Canis lupus familiaris: one gene and its partner. The protein of the gene in region 1 purifies or fractionates together with the protein of each later gene. This does not show direct contact. Links are inferred from orthologs where the notes say so. Each region holds a gene or a part of one and is shown on either strand. Other genes may lie near its edges.

Region 1 (7,741 bases):
CTAAGCCCTGGCTTCTGAGGAAGCCGTGCTTTGTTCCTTCAGGGATCACAGAGCAGCATCTAGTGGCCCTTCTGGGCAGCACAGATTATATAACTAGTACGCAGCAGTGCTCCAGAGCCAAGCACCTCAGCCTCTCCTCCCAACACCACGGCTGTCTCATTAGCACACCAGAAAGTCTTAGCACCCTTAAGACTGGTGCCAGGAGGGTCCCCAGGTGAAGAAACGGGGCCCAGGCCAGCCTATGGGCCACCCAACCCTCTCAACTGTGCCCAGATCCAGAGTACTTGAGGCCAGGGAGGAAAAGCAGCCCTGGAGGTCTAGAGCAGCACTGTCCAAAAAAATATAATGTGAGCCACAAATGCAAGCCACATAGGTAATTGAATATTTTCAAGTAGCCACATTAAAAAAATTAAAAGAAACAGATGGATTTTAATAATATATTTTATTTAACCCATTATGCTCAAAATATTTCAACATATATATTTAAAAAGTTGAGCTATTTTACATTTTTTCATACTGTCATCAAAATCTGGTTTGTATTTACATTTGCAATGCATCACACTTCCAACTAGCCACATATCAAAGACTGAAGAGGCCTGTGTGGCTAGTGGCTACACCATGGACAGCACGGGTCTAGAGGAGGTCATCAGACCCACAAAGGGAGCCACAGGCTGCTGCCACCTCAGCTCCTTGGGGCTGCCCTAGTAGGCTTGGGAAACCCTCCCTCCTCTCCAACTCCAGGGCTGGATCCCTTTGGAATAGTTCTTACAGTCCTTTAGGCAAGCAAGTCTTCAAGTGAAACTACACAGAGACTATACAAAACTGAAAGAGTAACAAGTAGTTCTGACTCAAGTGGAGCTGGCGCTGAGAGCCCACCCCGTCTTCCCAGTGGCCGCAGAGCCCCTCAGAAGAATGCAGCCAGGGTCCAAGGGGTAGTATGAAAATTCACTGCTTTTGAAGATTTCAACTAAAAACCAAACCACAACTGCAGGCCTCTCCGGGCACTTGCATGACTTCATATAACCTTCCCATCACAATTACCTACCAGCAGAGGATCTTCCAGCCCAAACCCGTGCCCTCACTGGACCATGTTGCCTTGGAAAAACAGGAGGATGCCTGCATACCACTTCCCATTTCAGACCTGACCGATCAAATTTCTTCCTCAAAGCCCTCCACTTTATCCCAGATCAAAAGGTCTCCCATGAAGCAAACATGGTACCAGAGCTTTGGCCAGTCTAGAAGGCTACTGAGCTGTGTGGACTTGTTCAGAAGCCCTCCAGCACTCAAGAAAAGGACACTTTTTGAAAAAAAAAATTGTTTTTATTGGAACTCATCTGAACATCAGATATACCTGGTGTTGGTTAGCAAGAACCGTTTGTACATTTGATATTGATGGTGCCAAAACCAAAACAGTGACTGGACATGATGGGAAGAGATGTTGAGAACAAAAACCTGATTCTGGAGAGGAAAGTAAAAGCCAGTCAGATTCAGTGAGGATGCAAAACCTGGTACAACAAAATCCTTTTACAAAATATAAATTTATTACGAAAACCTGGAAGGATAATCTGAGAAAGGAAAAGAAAGAGAAAAGGAGGCCAGCAGGAAGGAGGCATGAGGGGAGGAGGAAAAGAGAAGACAAAAAAAATGAGGAGGAAGAAATATCGCTGGGCACGGCAGAGGTGCAGAAGCTCACCTGCCCAAATGGCACGAAAGCCTCACTACGTGATCTCATCATAACACAAAGCATGCTGAAATACAACGCTCTACCTCCCAGCCGTTCAGTTTCTAAGAGGTAAATAAAGCAGCTCCCTGGGAGGGGGACATGAGGTTGCTCAAAAACCCAACAACAAAGGTTTAAAAAACAAAAACGAAAGAAAAAAAAGAAAACCCACACCCCACAGTCTCATTTTCAATGTTCACTTGGTTAAAAAAAGACTAAATCCATCTGACAGCAGGAGGAGGAGTGGGACAGGGAGAGAAGCTGATGGATTTCAGACAGCCTGACTCCCCTGAAGGGGAAGGAGGGAGGAAAAGAGACATGTGATGGTCTCCTGGTGGAGAGGGGAAAGAGAAGGGACAGAGAGAAGAGCAGAGAGGGCAATTAAAACACTGACGTCTAATCTAGTTTACTGTGTTAAAAAGAGCCACATGCACAGCAGGCCCCCTGAGGGCCCACACTGCTCCCGTGTGGCCCTTGTGGACACTAGCTCCTGGCCTCGTCCCCATTCCTCCACAGGTCAGCTCGGAGCTGTGCAGGTGCTGCTGCGGTGGCGGCGGCGGCGGCAGGCCCTCGGGCCAGTCTGCTGGAGCCATTGTTGGGGGGGAAGGGCAGGTGACAGGCCATGTGGCAGGGGAAAGAACACCAAAACGCCTCATTTCAAATAAAAAAGAAAATAGCAGTCTATACACAGTTGTTTGTTTTGGTTCAGTACAAACAATAAAAAGTCGTTGCTTTGATGGTCAGGCAAACACCCAATTCTGAAGAGGAGGAGAGGTGACGCCCAGCAGGTGGATTAGGAGCCCCAGTGGTTGACGAGGCTCCTGGCTTTGCGGCCCTCTCCCAGGAGGCAGAGAGCACAGCTTTAGGTAGTGTAAGCCTTTTTCCTTTTATTCAGAATAACCTTTTTTTTTTCTTTTTCTTTTTTTTTAAGCAATTTCCCCACTCCCAAGTTGGGCCAGTAAAGATTACATGAAAACTGGCACACCTATTGGCTGGAATACAGATGCACCAAATGAGGATTTAAAAACTTTCCGAGCGAAAAGTAGAACAAAAAGAAAAAAGAATCTCCTAGCATTTTCCCCAAAGGTTTCACTCTCCCGCCACACACACTCTCCAAAGGACCGCTACAGATCCAACTCTGCAAGAGAAGACAGAGCAGTGTCAATCGGGGAAGCTGCGAGGCCACCCAGAGGCTTTCAGTCTCAACAGGCAGAAGACGGCGCTGCCCGGGCTGGGTCCCAGAGCCGGCACTCACCTATGTCAGTTTCTTGGCTTTGTTGTAGAGGGAATCCACTACTTTACTCATGTTCTGAATGGTTTCCAGAGCAGCTTCGTAAGTTTTATCTACTGGGGGTTCATCGAAAATAATCAAGACACCCTCCCCCTGGTCCAAGATCCCTGTAGGAAACAAAAGGGCAACCCAGGTAAATGAAGGGATGAGATACAAAGGCACCTGAGAAGCAGCCCGCTCCCTAGCTGCCTCCCTTTCTCCAGGAAGGAGAATCAGAAATCATCTCCGTGTTCCATTTGTGCATATTTATTATGCATACTCTCATCACAGGGATAAGTATGGTGAGGATCCCAGGGAGCTACCAGGTGAAATAAATGGAACATCTTTCAAGATAAACAAGAGCATGATGCCTCAACTGCTTCACCACTGTTACTCACCATGAAATTTCTTGTCAAGAATCATCTGTGATAATTTCCTTTCCACGTCGGCCTAAAATCAAAGCATATGATTAAAGGGATCGGTATCCACTAGTCAGAGATCACACTGACACAAGTTTTGTACAAAAGGGCAAACAGATTGTCAATAAAACAGCAACAGTGAAACTCGAGCTCTGAGCTCACAGTCCCCACGCCACACCATGAAGTTTGAGGACTTTCCAACAAGGCCCATTGAGTACAAATGCTAACCACTTCCCCAGCCCCTTTCCCTGTCCCTGCCCCCAAGACAAGCTCAGGACTCCTTACCTTAGAGAGTTTGATGAGGCTAGATATGTGTTCAATCTACAAGAAAAGGCAGAGAGACAGTGACACTGAGAGTCCTACTTCTGCCTCTAACGTGGGGCCAAACTCTCTTTGGTCATGCTTAGGCCTCTCACCATTAGACAACACACATTCCCGTCCCACATACCCACTGTAGACAGACATCTACCACATGCACGGTGACTACAGAAGCAAGGAGGGGACTGTACTCAGGATGAGCAGGGCAATCTCACTGGCCTCCATCCCATAGAATTTCCTTAACACTTATTCCTATGGCAAGAAAAGCCCAAGCCTTCTTGCCCACCAGACACAGCCTTGGATGCAAGTTCCTATTCTGGACACGTGGGAACGGAGGGGACTAGACAGAATGGCTAGCCAAAGAATCAGAGTCCCCAAGAGGGTCCTTACCTGAACTCGGGAAAAAGGCTCAATGACTCGGATCAGATTCTGTTCCAGTAAGTTATCATACAACTTGGCCAAGTGTGTACTGATGATTGGGTCATCCCGGAGCTCTGCCCGATAATCTGTCAGGGCCTGCCAAGAAAGCCAGTCACAGAGATTGGCACAGAGAAGCACCTAAAGTCACGCTACTCCTAGCTTCCTAAGTAGTTTGCTGGGCCTTGTAAACACATAACTGACTGAAGCTCTAGAGGATCTGAGATGAAAGAAAAGTTATGCCAGAAGGCAAAGGAAAGGAAACATCAGGAACTAAAAGATGGAGACCCTTCTAGGCACCACCTTTCTGTCAGAAGGCCTCATGTTGACAGCCCAAACCACGTAAGCCCGATACTACACAAGCAGTTCTCCGCATGTATCCCAAAGAGTAAACAGGGTCTCCATGAAAAAAAAAAATTTTTTTTCTGCGATTAAATAATGAGAAATGCTTGGACACCCGGGTGGTTCAGTTAGTTAAACGTCTGACTCTTGATTTCAGCTCAGGTCATGATGTTAGGGGCGTGAGATTGAGCCCCATGTCCGGATGGGCATGGAGTCTGCTTAAGATTCTCTCTGTCTGCCTTTCCCCCTCCGTGTGTGTTAGTTTGTGTTCTCTCTTTAAAAATAAATAAAAAATAATGGGAAATGCTTAATCCCACAACTGGCTCATGGAGTTGTTTTTTTTTATTTATTTATTTTTTTTATGATAGTCACAGAGAGAGAGAGAGAGGCAGAGACACAGGCAGAGGGAGAAGCAGGCTCCATGCACTGGGAGCCCGATGTGGGATTCGATCCCAGGTCTCCAGGATCGCGCCCTGGGCCAAAGGCAGGCGCCAAACCGCTGCGCCACCCAGGGATCCCCTGGCTCATGGAGTTTTATGAGCACATCAGCATATAGTTCTGCAGTTAACAGGAAACAAAACACCTAATTTTGTTCAGCCCTCATGTATCCCAGACCCTTATCCCCATCAAACATCCCAAACTTTAGGATAAAATGATCTAGTCTACTTTGTTTATTCATGTATGTAATTTATTTACTTTGAGGAATGGTCTAAATATCCAGCCTCATGTCAGCTGTGCTACAAGGTGTTAAGAGAAGAAGCAAATCATGCCAAGTAAGGAAGTGAAATTGGCAAGAAAGCTCAACAAAGATGTGGAATCTTGGAGACAGCCAGAGCCAAATGGTTTAGCCTCTATCCACAATTAAGTTTTTCTTTCTAGATCTACATTTGTTTTTAAGTTGGTCATTATACTGAGACTAGGAGAAGAGAGGCTCAGAAGAGAATATACAAAGTCTCACTCTACTGCTTAGGCATGTTTTTTCCCCTTTTCAAACCTTGGCTAACAATGAGTAAAAGGCACAGGAGGCAAAGCCAGCCTGGAACATCAACCTCGGGAAGTGTCTTCTGGTCCATGTGCACATAGCAAGACTCTTTCTCACGCCCACAAGAGAAGCAGAGCTGGCACTGCTGGAGTTGAAGGAAACTCTATGACCATGGCGTGCAAAATAAGTGCCAGGCCTGGCATTGAGGCCTGACACGTGAGCTGTGGGGCTTCAAGCACTCTCCCTGAACCATAGGCTCAGCTCCCTCAACCATAAAATGCAGAGAAGAGGTTTGTTGTGAAAAATCTAAGTGACAGGGAGCTTGGGTGGCTCAGTCATTAAGTATCTGCCTTTGGCTCAGGTCATGATCCCGGGGTCCTGGGAATGAGCCCCTGCACCAGACTCCCTGCTCAGTAGGGGAGGTCTGCTTCTTCCTCTCCCTCTTCCACCCGACTCATGTTTTCTCTCACTCACCCTGCTCTCAAATAAATAAAAAATCTTTAAAAAGAGAGAGAGAGAGAGAGAGAGAAGAAAAAAATCCAAGTGAAAAAGGATGAAAGAACATTTTTTTAAAGATTTTATTTATTTGAGAGAGTAGAGCAAGAGTGAGCACGAAGCAGCGAAAGAGGGAGCAGCAGAATTCCTGATGAGCAGGAGCCCAACATGGGGCTCGACCCCAGGACCCAAGGATCATGTCAGACACTTAACCAGGCGCCCAGATAAAAGAACTTTTTGAAACTGAAAGGTACTATATATAAATGAGGTACTACAACTCAACAAGTTTTGTTGTATAAAATTTCCAGGTTTTGATACTGTACTATAATTAAAATGCAACCACTGGGGAAAATTGGATGAGTAATACATGGGATCATTGGGTACAGTCTTTGAAAATTCTTATGAAACTATAATTATTTACAAATAAAGAGATTTTTTTTAAGTAAATGCCCCTCTCCTCCACCCATTCCCTACCAACCCAATACCCTGCTTACCTTTTCAAAATCTGCCAGTGATCTATTCTTGCTAGCCTGAGCCACACATTTTAATGCTTCTGTCTAAGAGTAAAGAGAAAAACAGTGACAGTGATCTATTCTGTACATTCACATCCCATCCAATATATGCCTTAAGCAGTATGCTATGTCCACACAACTTCTGGCTACAAGGAAGAACCCACCCCACAAATGTTCTTCAGAGGCCTGGAAGAAAAGCTAGACCACCACCAGTGTGCCACCAGTCTCCCTTTGAAATCTGAAATGACTTAAAAATACTAGGAAATAGAAAAATTAAAAAGGAAAAAAAGGAAAAAAAGAAAGAAAAGAAAGAAAAGAAAAAAGAAAAGAAAAGAAAAGAAAAGAAAAGAAAAGAAAAGAAAAGAAAAGAAAAGAAAAAGAAAAAGAAAAAGAAAAAGAAAAAAGAAAAAAGGCCCTTATATGGCATTCACCAAAGAGGACAAGCTAAAAGAAAAAATGACCAGAGAACTGTGATCTCTTTCCCCCTCCTCCAAGGCTCCTTATTCCCAAAGCCCACTGACTTTCTTGCCCTTAGACCTGGTCATACCTGTGCTTCCAAGTCTCATTCTGCTAGGTTTGGTACAGAGCAAGATCCAAGATCTACTTTCATTAGGGTTGAGACACCAAAATTCTACATATTATATACTCAATGTTAAAATGCCATAGAGAGATGAAGGTACAATCAGTGGTTGAGGTAAACTTCTAGCCTCATTATAAAAGGCACATTCACTCAGCAAGAAATCTACAATCTTTCTGGGAGTCTGTCCTAACTCCTACTTGAAAGCTGTCATCAAGGTCCAAATGACCAGAAGTAGCTTCTCTGGTACAGCCCATGCATTTACATAAAGATGGTATGTCGTAAGGCAGAGTTTGAAATAGTGCAAAACTAACCATTAGTGTAGTGTGTCACAGTATTTGTCCCAGAGAGAGAAAATGTCATAATGAGAAAAGCCTAGAACTAAGAGCCAGATAACCCAAGTTCAAAGTCTGGCTCCATCATTTAATAGTTACCTGATCCTGTCCTAGACACTTGGTCTCTCTTAGCCCATGTCTTCAATTCTGATTCTAGATAGGGCAGTGAGTCCTTCACTTTTGTAATAATGACTATACCTGTGGCCAAAGTAGGAGCCCCAAACCAGGGCCACTTGTAGAGAAAGAAGAAACCATCTATTGTGGCCATTCCTCCAAAGAGTTCATGAGTCTATTGTTCAGAGACAACTGCATTTGAAATCTAGAAAGATTACTTTTACTTTACTAGTGATAATC
Region 2 (8,462 bases), on another chromosome or scaffold:
TTTATCAGAGCCTCCAGAGGGACACAGCCCTGCCAACACTTTGATCTTAGTCCAGTGATACCCATTTGGATCTCTGATTATTATAAGGCAATAAATTTGTGACACTTGAAACCACTAGTCTAGGGTATTTGTTACAATAGGACCAGAAAACTAATATACTACCCAACTGCTACGTACAACTTATTCCTCAACTATAAACAAATAAATGATTTTATTTAGGATAGTGATATGACCACCATGGAGTACATACCCCAACATGTCTTGCAGGCAGAGAGGCCTAGGAAGTGAAAGCAGAAAGCAGTGCAACAAGGCGGGGCTGGGATCTACAGGAGAGTTTCTTAAAGGGAGAGTCCTGGGCAGCAAAGGACCTTCTCCCCTTCCCACCTTCGTCCTTCCCTTCCTTCCTGCTTGGTGCATGGACATGGTGACCCTAAAGTTGGAAAACATGTCCAAAGGATGGCACAGCCTGGGATCTGACAGCCAGCCCTGCTCTGCTTCCCTCCAAATGTCTATACTGAGGCACTGAAGGCTCCTGTGTGAGTGACCGCAGTCAGGGCACTATCCTTACCAGCTAGATGCATTTCCTAACACATAACTAGTTTGATCAGGATTGCAAGCAATTTTTTTTAAAGATTTTATTTATATACTCATGAGAGACACAGAAAGAGAGGCAGAGACATAAGCAGAGGGAGAAGCAGGCTCCTCACAGGGAGTCCGATGTGGGACTCGATCCCAGGATCACGCCCTGAGCCAAAGGCAGACACTCAACCACTGAGCCACCCAGGAGTTCCAAATTTTTGACTCCGGTTTCTATCATCACTTTGAAAAAGTTTCCACAGTGAAGTCAAGTCTTTAAGAACAAAATGAAAAATGAAACCATAAATTTTAGAAGCCTAGAGGCCAACCCATTCCCTCACTCAGTCCCTGGATGCGGACAGTGAGCTAATCCCATCAGGGGAGAAGAGAAGGAAGCAGAGAATATGGAATAGTAAGATCATGCTTATGTGCCTTCAGCCTCCCTTGCTGGAAGGCTGGGGATTGGCTGCACGCACACCACTCACAGACGATGTTGTGCCTGGCAGTTCGGACTTGGTACAGGTCCACGTCTGACCGAGGGTAGCCCTCGCAGTCCACCAGTGGCTCATTCATCCCCACGCCCTTTTGCTAGAGGGAAGAAACATGGTTAAGATTTCACAGGTATGAAGTCCTCAAGACATTTTTTTCCCTTGCAGCCATCATAAAGGCGACAGGAATGAAAGCTGCCACATACTGATCACACAGTACAGGCCACGTACTTTCCCCAAATGCTCCCACAACCACCCTCTGTGGTCAGGGGGACGACACACTATTTTTCTTTTTACTGACTTTTAATAACACAAGTAACATCAATCTGTGCTCCTCTTTTTAAGTCAGACAGTGCAGATAAAACTAAAGACTCTTTTGAGCTTCATCCCCAAGGCCAGCCTCTTGGGCTCCTCCAAACCCTCCTTCCAAAAGCAGCTGACACCTGGCTGGTGGCCTTCAAACCCAGAGGGGAGTGAAAGCCCCAAAGAGCATCCAGCTGTGGCAGGACTTTGGTTCTTCCTGAAAGTAAAAAGGGATCTAAAAGGGATTTCAAAGAGGTTTTCATCCCTCGAAGGGCATACTGTTATCAACTGCCATTGGGAGAAGGAATTGGGTGGCTAGGGGACAAGGAAGGCAGAGGGACTTCATTTTCTATTTTTTTGTAGTCTTTTTGAATTTTGATCATGCACACGTATTCCCTATCTAAAATGACACATTTAAAATAAATAAAATAAAATAAAATAAAATAAAATAAAATAAAATAAAATAAAATGACACATTTAACATTTTAAAGTCTTTTCCTACATTAAGTCAGAGGATGGTGCACAATGGCAATGAAACTCGTCCTGTGATGGAGGGCAGAGGGTTTCCAGTCAGTTAGACTTTGATTTGAATCTCAGTCGTGCCGTGTACAATCCGGGTGCCCTTGGTTGAGATCTCCCCTCTCCTGAGGGAGATCCATGACACAGAGAAGATCATGTGACCAGGGGCAGAGGAGTTAGACCACCAAAGCCAGGGATGGCCAGTGACCACCAGAAAATAAGACAGAGGCACTGAACAGATTCTCCCTCAGATCCCCCAGGAGAAACCAACCCTGCCGACAGCTTAGATTTCAGACTTGTGGCCTTCACAACTGTGAGAGAATGAATTTCCATCACTCTGGTCACCCAGTTTGTAGTAATTTGTTATGGGGGCTCCAGGAAATTAATACATGTAAAAGTAATAAATCATGGCTGAATTATTAGTCAGCATAGAGGAAAGCTGCCCAGGGAATATATGTACTGGGATGAGGGATTCCATTCACTTCTCTCCCTTTCTTTCTGGAAGCCACTGGGTTATACCTACCATTTCCTATTGAAGCCCATAGTTTACCTTAGACTTCACTCTTAGTTTTATATTCTACAGGTTTGAACAAATGTATAATGACATGTACCCATCATTACAATCCTATATGGGATACCTACACTGCCCTACAAATCCTCTGTGCTCCATCTATTCATCCCTTCCATCACTTTGGATCCCTGCAACCACTGATCTTTTTAATGTCTCCACAGTTTTGCCCCTTCCAGATTCTGGTTGAAACCCTACAGATGCAGTCTTCTCAGACTGGCTTCTTTCAGTTACTTATAAGCATTTGGGGTTCCTCCAGGTCTTTTCATTGCTCACTAGCCCATTTATTTTTAGCAGTGAGTAATATAGTCTACTGTTTAGAGGTTCATTTTATTTACCTATCCACCTAGTTAAAGACATCTTGGTTGCTTCAAGTCTTGGCAATTACGAAATAAGCTGCTGGAAACATCATGAGGATTTTTGCGTAGACATGTTTTAAACTCCTTTGGGTAAATACCATGGAGCACAACTGCTGGATGGTATGGTAAGAGAATGTTTAGCTTTGCAAGAAACTTGCAGCTCTGAATCAAGAGTTCCCCCACATCCTCAACAGCATCCGGAGTTGAACTGTGATGAATACTGGCCACTTAGACACATGTGTAGTAGTACCTCATGGCTGTTTTAATTGGCATTTCTCTGATGACATATGACATATGTCTTTTGAGATACACGTTTTAAATTCTGATAAATTTTATCTACTTTTTCTTTCATTGCTTGTGATTTTGGCATCACATCTAAGGAGGTTTTACCTGACCCAAGATCACAAAAATTTACTCCTATGCTTTATTCTATAAGATTTATGGTTTTAGCTCCTCCCTCCTTTTTAAAAAAACAATCACAGAGGAGGGCTTCAGGCTTAAAAGCTTTCAGCCTATAACTGTAGCTAGTAAAAAGGAACAAACATATCACCTTGGTATGCATTTTTACCTTATGCTAAAGGGAGGGGAAAAAATCCCTTTCTCATATGCTGTAAAGTTACAAAATTTTCACTTAAGACAAACATATTTAAGTAAAAAAGTGAATCAATATAAAGAAAAATACCAAGGGAATAGTAGTACAGGAGATATTATGGATATAGCATCCCGCTTGAGGTAAAAAGTAAAGTTTGGAAAATTGTTAGCATAATGCTTGAAAACACAAGTTCTGGATTAAACGGGCCTGAGATCTGAATCTCATTTTGTGACTCTAAGCAAGTGACTTCTCTTTTCTGAGCTGGGTAACATACAAACTTCACAAGGTGGTTGTGGATTTCATGATATAACATACACACAAACCAGCACCCTTCAGGCATAATAATCAGCACCCTGCAACATGATACCCTAGTCTTTTGATGCTTGGATTTTACTCTCATCACCTAAAATGCATTGCATCCATTCACCCTATATAGGATGTATTTAATTTATTCTTCCTCTGCAAATTGATTTGTGGTTCTACACTAATTGGCATAAGAAAAACTACCAGTTTGGGGGCTAGACAGACCTGGGAATAGCCCCACCACAGCCACTTCTGGTTACATGACCCTAGACAAGGGTTTGCCTCACCCTGGGCCTCAGTTCCCTTACTTGTCACTCAAAGCTCGGTCTTTAGAGTAGTAGCATCAGCATCGCTGGGAATTTGCTAGAAATAGATCTGCACCTCCGCGCCCCGTCCTCATCAGAAACTGAACTTTAACAAGATCTCCAGGTGCTTGCCAAACATAATGAAAGTTTACGAAGTTCTGACGTAAAGTGAGTTAGCAAAGCACAGATCTTCTGGTACACATTCAACAAGCACCAACGATGGTGGTGATTATCACAATTTATTAGCTCTGTGGCCTGAGGCAGGTTGAAGTAACGCCTCTGTTTCCTCATCCCTAAAATGGGGGGAATAGTAGAACTCACTTCAAAAAGTTGCTGCGAGGGTTAAAGGAGCTAACCACGTAACGCAATTAAAACAGCCCCCAAGCGCCCAACACCGGGTAAGAGCTCCACGAACGCTTGCTATACTAGGCCAGTCGTTCTCAGGGGCTATCGTTAGTTGCTTACCGCCTACTGCCGACAGAGGCCGCAGTTGCCGCGCTTTGGGCCTCCCAGGGAGCGAGAGCTCCACCGCTGAGCGCTCAAACCCAGGCCGCCCCGGCCTCCCCATTCTCCCAGGCTGCCCCCCACGCCCGCTCAGGAGCCCCGAGCCCCCACTCACACTCTCCAGTACGTCATAATTGGCTTTGATCTGCGCCTCGATCTCCTCCTTGCGCCGTATGAGCTCCTGGATGTCACTGACAGTCACCGCGCCGGCCTGCGGGGAGCCTTCGCCCTGCCTGGCTTCCCCCTCCGACATCCTGGACCTCGGCGCGGGATGCGGGACACCAGGCTCCCCGGCTTCCGGGATGCGGCCGCCGGAAGAGACTGTGGCTACGGCTCCGCCCGCGGGCCAAACTTCCTCGAGCGTCAGCGAGCCTGACCTGGGGGAGGGGCCTGCTGGGGGCGGGGCGCCCGGAAGCCACACCCCGCCGGGACAAGTGTTCTGGGGACTAGGGAAGACCAGTCTGGGGAGGAATGGGTTCCAGGTCTGTCACCAGCCAGAACAGGATGATCTCTCCCTCGGTGACTCATTTGCTTTCCATTCATTCAGTAGACATGTACTGAGCGCCTACCATATGTTTGTGCCAAAGCGCTGTGCGAGGCGCTCCAGTTCAGCTCCTCAAATCTACCCAGCCCTTGAGAGATAACGAAACACATTCAGATTCCTTATCCCCCATTTTTAAAATATTTTATTTTTTTATTTTTTAAAGATTTTATTTATTTTTTTAAGATTTTATTTATTTATTCATAGAGACACAGAGAGGCAGAGACACAGGCAGAGGGAGAAGTGGGCTCCATGCAGGGAGCCCGATGTGGGACTCGACCCAGGGTCTCCAGGATCAGGCCCTGGGCTGCAGGCGGCGCTAAACCGCTGCACCACCGGGGCTGCCCGGTTTTATTTATTCATGAGAGACACACAGAGAGAGGCAGAGACACAGGCAGAGGGAGACGTAGGCTCTCTGCGGAGAGCCCATGACCCCAGGGTCACACCCTGAGCCAAAGGCAGACGCTCAACCACTGAACCATCCAGGTGCCCCCTAAGATTTTATTATTTTTAAGTAACCTCCAAACCCAACATGGGGCTGGAACACACAACCCCAGAGATCCAGAGTTGCATGCTTCACTGGCTGAGCCAGCCGGATGCTCCCCTTATTCCCCATTTTACAGACCCTACAAGCTCAGGTTCAAGTCTGGTTCTGGCCACTTAATGCAACCTACATGACCTTGGTAAATTCCTTCACTGCCCTGAGCCTATTTCCTCATCTATAAAATCATTGGATATTGATAGATATCTCAGGGCTGTGATTTTGCTAACAGCTATTTATTGAATGTCTCCTATATGTCATACACTGTCCCAGGAGCTGGAAAGATAAAGAACTGAGTTACTACTCAATGTCTCTTACGTACTAAGACCTCTTTAAATTTTGGCAAAAATAGTGATGATAATAACTTACCAAATTCATACAATGTGCCAGACACTGTTCTAAATGCCGTATGTGTATCAATTCAACAGCCCTCTGGGGGCGTCTGGGTGGCTCATTTGGTTAAGTAAGTATCTCCCTTCTGCTCTGGTCATGATCCCAGAATTCTGGGATGGAGCCCCACATCAGGCTCCCTGATCAATGGTGAGTCTGCTTCTCCCTCTCCCTCTGCTGCTCCCCCAGCTTGTGCTTGCTCTCTTTCTCTGTCAGATAAATAAATAAAATATTTAAAAAAAAAACAGCCTTGTGAAATCAGGGTTAGTACTGTTCTCATGTGACAACTGAGAAAACCCTTTCAATAACCAACTTGCCGGGATCCCTGGGTGGCGCAGTGGTTTAGCGCCTGCCTTTGGCCCAGGGCGCGATCCTGGAGACCCGGGATCGAATCCCACGTCGGGCTCCCGGTGCACGGAGCCTGCTTCTCCCTCTGCCTATGTCTCTGCCTCTCTCTCTCTCTCTCTCTGTGTGACTATCATAAATAAATAATAAATAAATAAAAAATAAATAAATAAATAACCAACTTGCCCAAACAGCAGAATAAGCTTCCAAATTTTCAACCTAGCCTAACCAAATAATGAAACAACATTTAAACATGTGCCCCCTAATATATTGCACTAAAAGGATACACCACACTGGTGTATTATTCAAAAATGTTTGTCCTGAATCTAATCATGGTAAATAAATTCAAATTAAAGAACACTCTTCAAAACAACTGCCTTGAACTCTTCAAAAAAGGTCAGTGTTGTGAAATACATATATACAAGCTAGGCAATTGCCTAGCTTAAAGACTAGGGACAAGAGAGGCAACTTACTTTCAAATGGTTCAGGAAGGGCAGCCCGGGTGGCTTAGCGGTTTAGCGCCCCCTTCAGCCCAGGGCCTAATCCTGGAGACCCAAGATCAAGTCCAAGTTGGGCTCCCTGCTTGGGGCCTGCTTCTCCCTCTGACTCTCTCTCTCTCTCTCTCTCTGTGTCTCTTGCGAAAAAATAAATTTTAAAAATCTTTAAAAAGGGCAGCGCCAGTGGCTCAGCGGTTTGGCCCCACCTTCAGCCCAGGGCCTGATCCTGGAGACCTGGGATCAAGTCCCACGTCGGGCTCCTGGCATGGAGCCTGCTTCTCCCCCTGCCTGTGTCTCTGCCTCTCTCCCTCTCTCTCTCTCTCTCTCTCTCTCTCTCTGTGTGTGTCTCTCATGAATAAATACATAACATCTTTTTAAAAAATCTTTAAAAAAACACAAATGGTTCAGGAAAAAAGAACAAATATATATTTGTGGACAAGAGAATGGTAAGGTAAATGTGATAATGTGTAAATAGTGATTCTGAGTAAAACATATACAAACATTCTTACTATCTTTGCTACTTTTCTGGAGGTTGAAATTCTTTTAAAATAAAAAGTTACAAAAGTAATCCTTATACAGAAAAAAAGTATAATTAATTACATTCAGCCTCCTATATTTTGTTCAGTTATCCTTTTTCTTTTTTCTTAAGATTTTATTTATTTGAGAGAGAGAGAGCACAAGCAGGAGGAGGAGAGGGAGAAGGAGAAGGAGGAGAGGGAGAGGGAGAAGCAGACTCCCCACTGAGCAGGGGGCCTGAGGCGGGGCTCTATCCCAGGACCCTGAGATCAAGACCTGGGCCAAAAGCAGACATTTAACCAACTGAGCCACCTACACACCCCTGCTTTTTGTTTTTTTAAATAATCTAATATCCAATTAGGGATTGTGCAAGTATTTAGTTATGTCTCTCCCTTTTCTTTTTTTTTTTTTGGGGGGGGGGTGTCAATGTTAGAAACGTTAGTTTATTTTAAAAAGATAATTGCAGGGTGCCTAGGTGGCTTAGTTGGTTAAGCGTCTGCCTTTGGCTCAGGTCATGATCTCAGGGTCCTGGGATGGAGCCCCGCCTCAGGCTCCCTGCTCAGTGGGAAGTCTGCCCCCTCCTCTTCCACTCCAATCCCCTACTGGTGCACACTCTCTCTCAAATTAATAAATAAAATCTCTAAAAAAATAAAAAATAAAAGCAGCAGGGATGCCTGGCTGGCTCAGTTGGAGACTCATATGACTCCTGATCTCAGGGTGTGAGTTCCAGTCCCACATTGGGCGCAGAGATTACAAAAAAGAAGAAGGAGGAGGAGGAGGAGGAGGAGGAGGAGGAGGAGGAGGAGGAGGAAGAGGAGGAGAAAGAAGAAAGAAGAAGAAGATTAAATTAAATTAAAATAAAAACATCAGCTTTAAAAGAATTATTAGGGAGTGCCTAGGTGGCTCAGTAGTTGAGCATCTGCCTTCTGCTCGGGTTGTGATCCTGGAGTCCTGGGATCAAGTCCTGCATCAGGCTCCCTGCAGGGAGCCTGCTTCTCCCTCTACCTGTGTCTCTGCCTCTCTCTGTGTGTATCTCATGGATAAATAAATAAAATCTTAAAAAAAAAACACATTATTGAGACAATTGTTGAAATGTTTAATATGAACTTTATATT

What was found. The genes of interacting proteins can lie anywhere in the genome.
Region 2: the proteins of PSMD11 (region 1) and PSMD9 fractionate together in Homo sapiens (co-fractionation; 3 studies listed by BioGRID and IntAct, with this or other methods). This does not show direct contact. The link is inferred for Canis lupus familiaris from reciprocal best matches to the Homo sapiens genes PSMD11 and PSMD9.

Annotation. Positions count from the first base shown.
Region 1 is NC_049230.1:40,477,062-40,484,802, forward strand, and holds the end of PSMD11 (26S proteasome non-ATPase regulatory subunit 11), read right to left. Parts: intron 6,521-7,741; coding exon 6,458-6,520; intron 4,244-6,457; coding exon 4,118-4,243; intron 3,731-4,117; coding exon 3,695-3,730; intron 3,441-3,694; coding exon 3,389-3,440; intron 3,119-3,388; coding exon 2,976-3,118; intron 2,859-2,975; 3' UTR 1,299-2,858; downstream 1-1,298.
Region 2 is NC_049247.1:7,625,716-7,634,177, forward strand, and holds the start of PSMD9 (26S proteasome non-ATPase regulatory subunit 9), read right to left. Parts: upstream 4,856-8,462; 5' UTR 4,771-4,855; coding exon 4,633-4,770; intron 1,165-4,632; coding exon 1,062-1,164; intron 1-1,061. UniProt on the Homo sapiens protein: Acts as a chaperone during the assembly of the 26S proteasome, specifically of the base subcomplex of the PA700/19S regulatory complex (RC).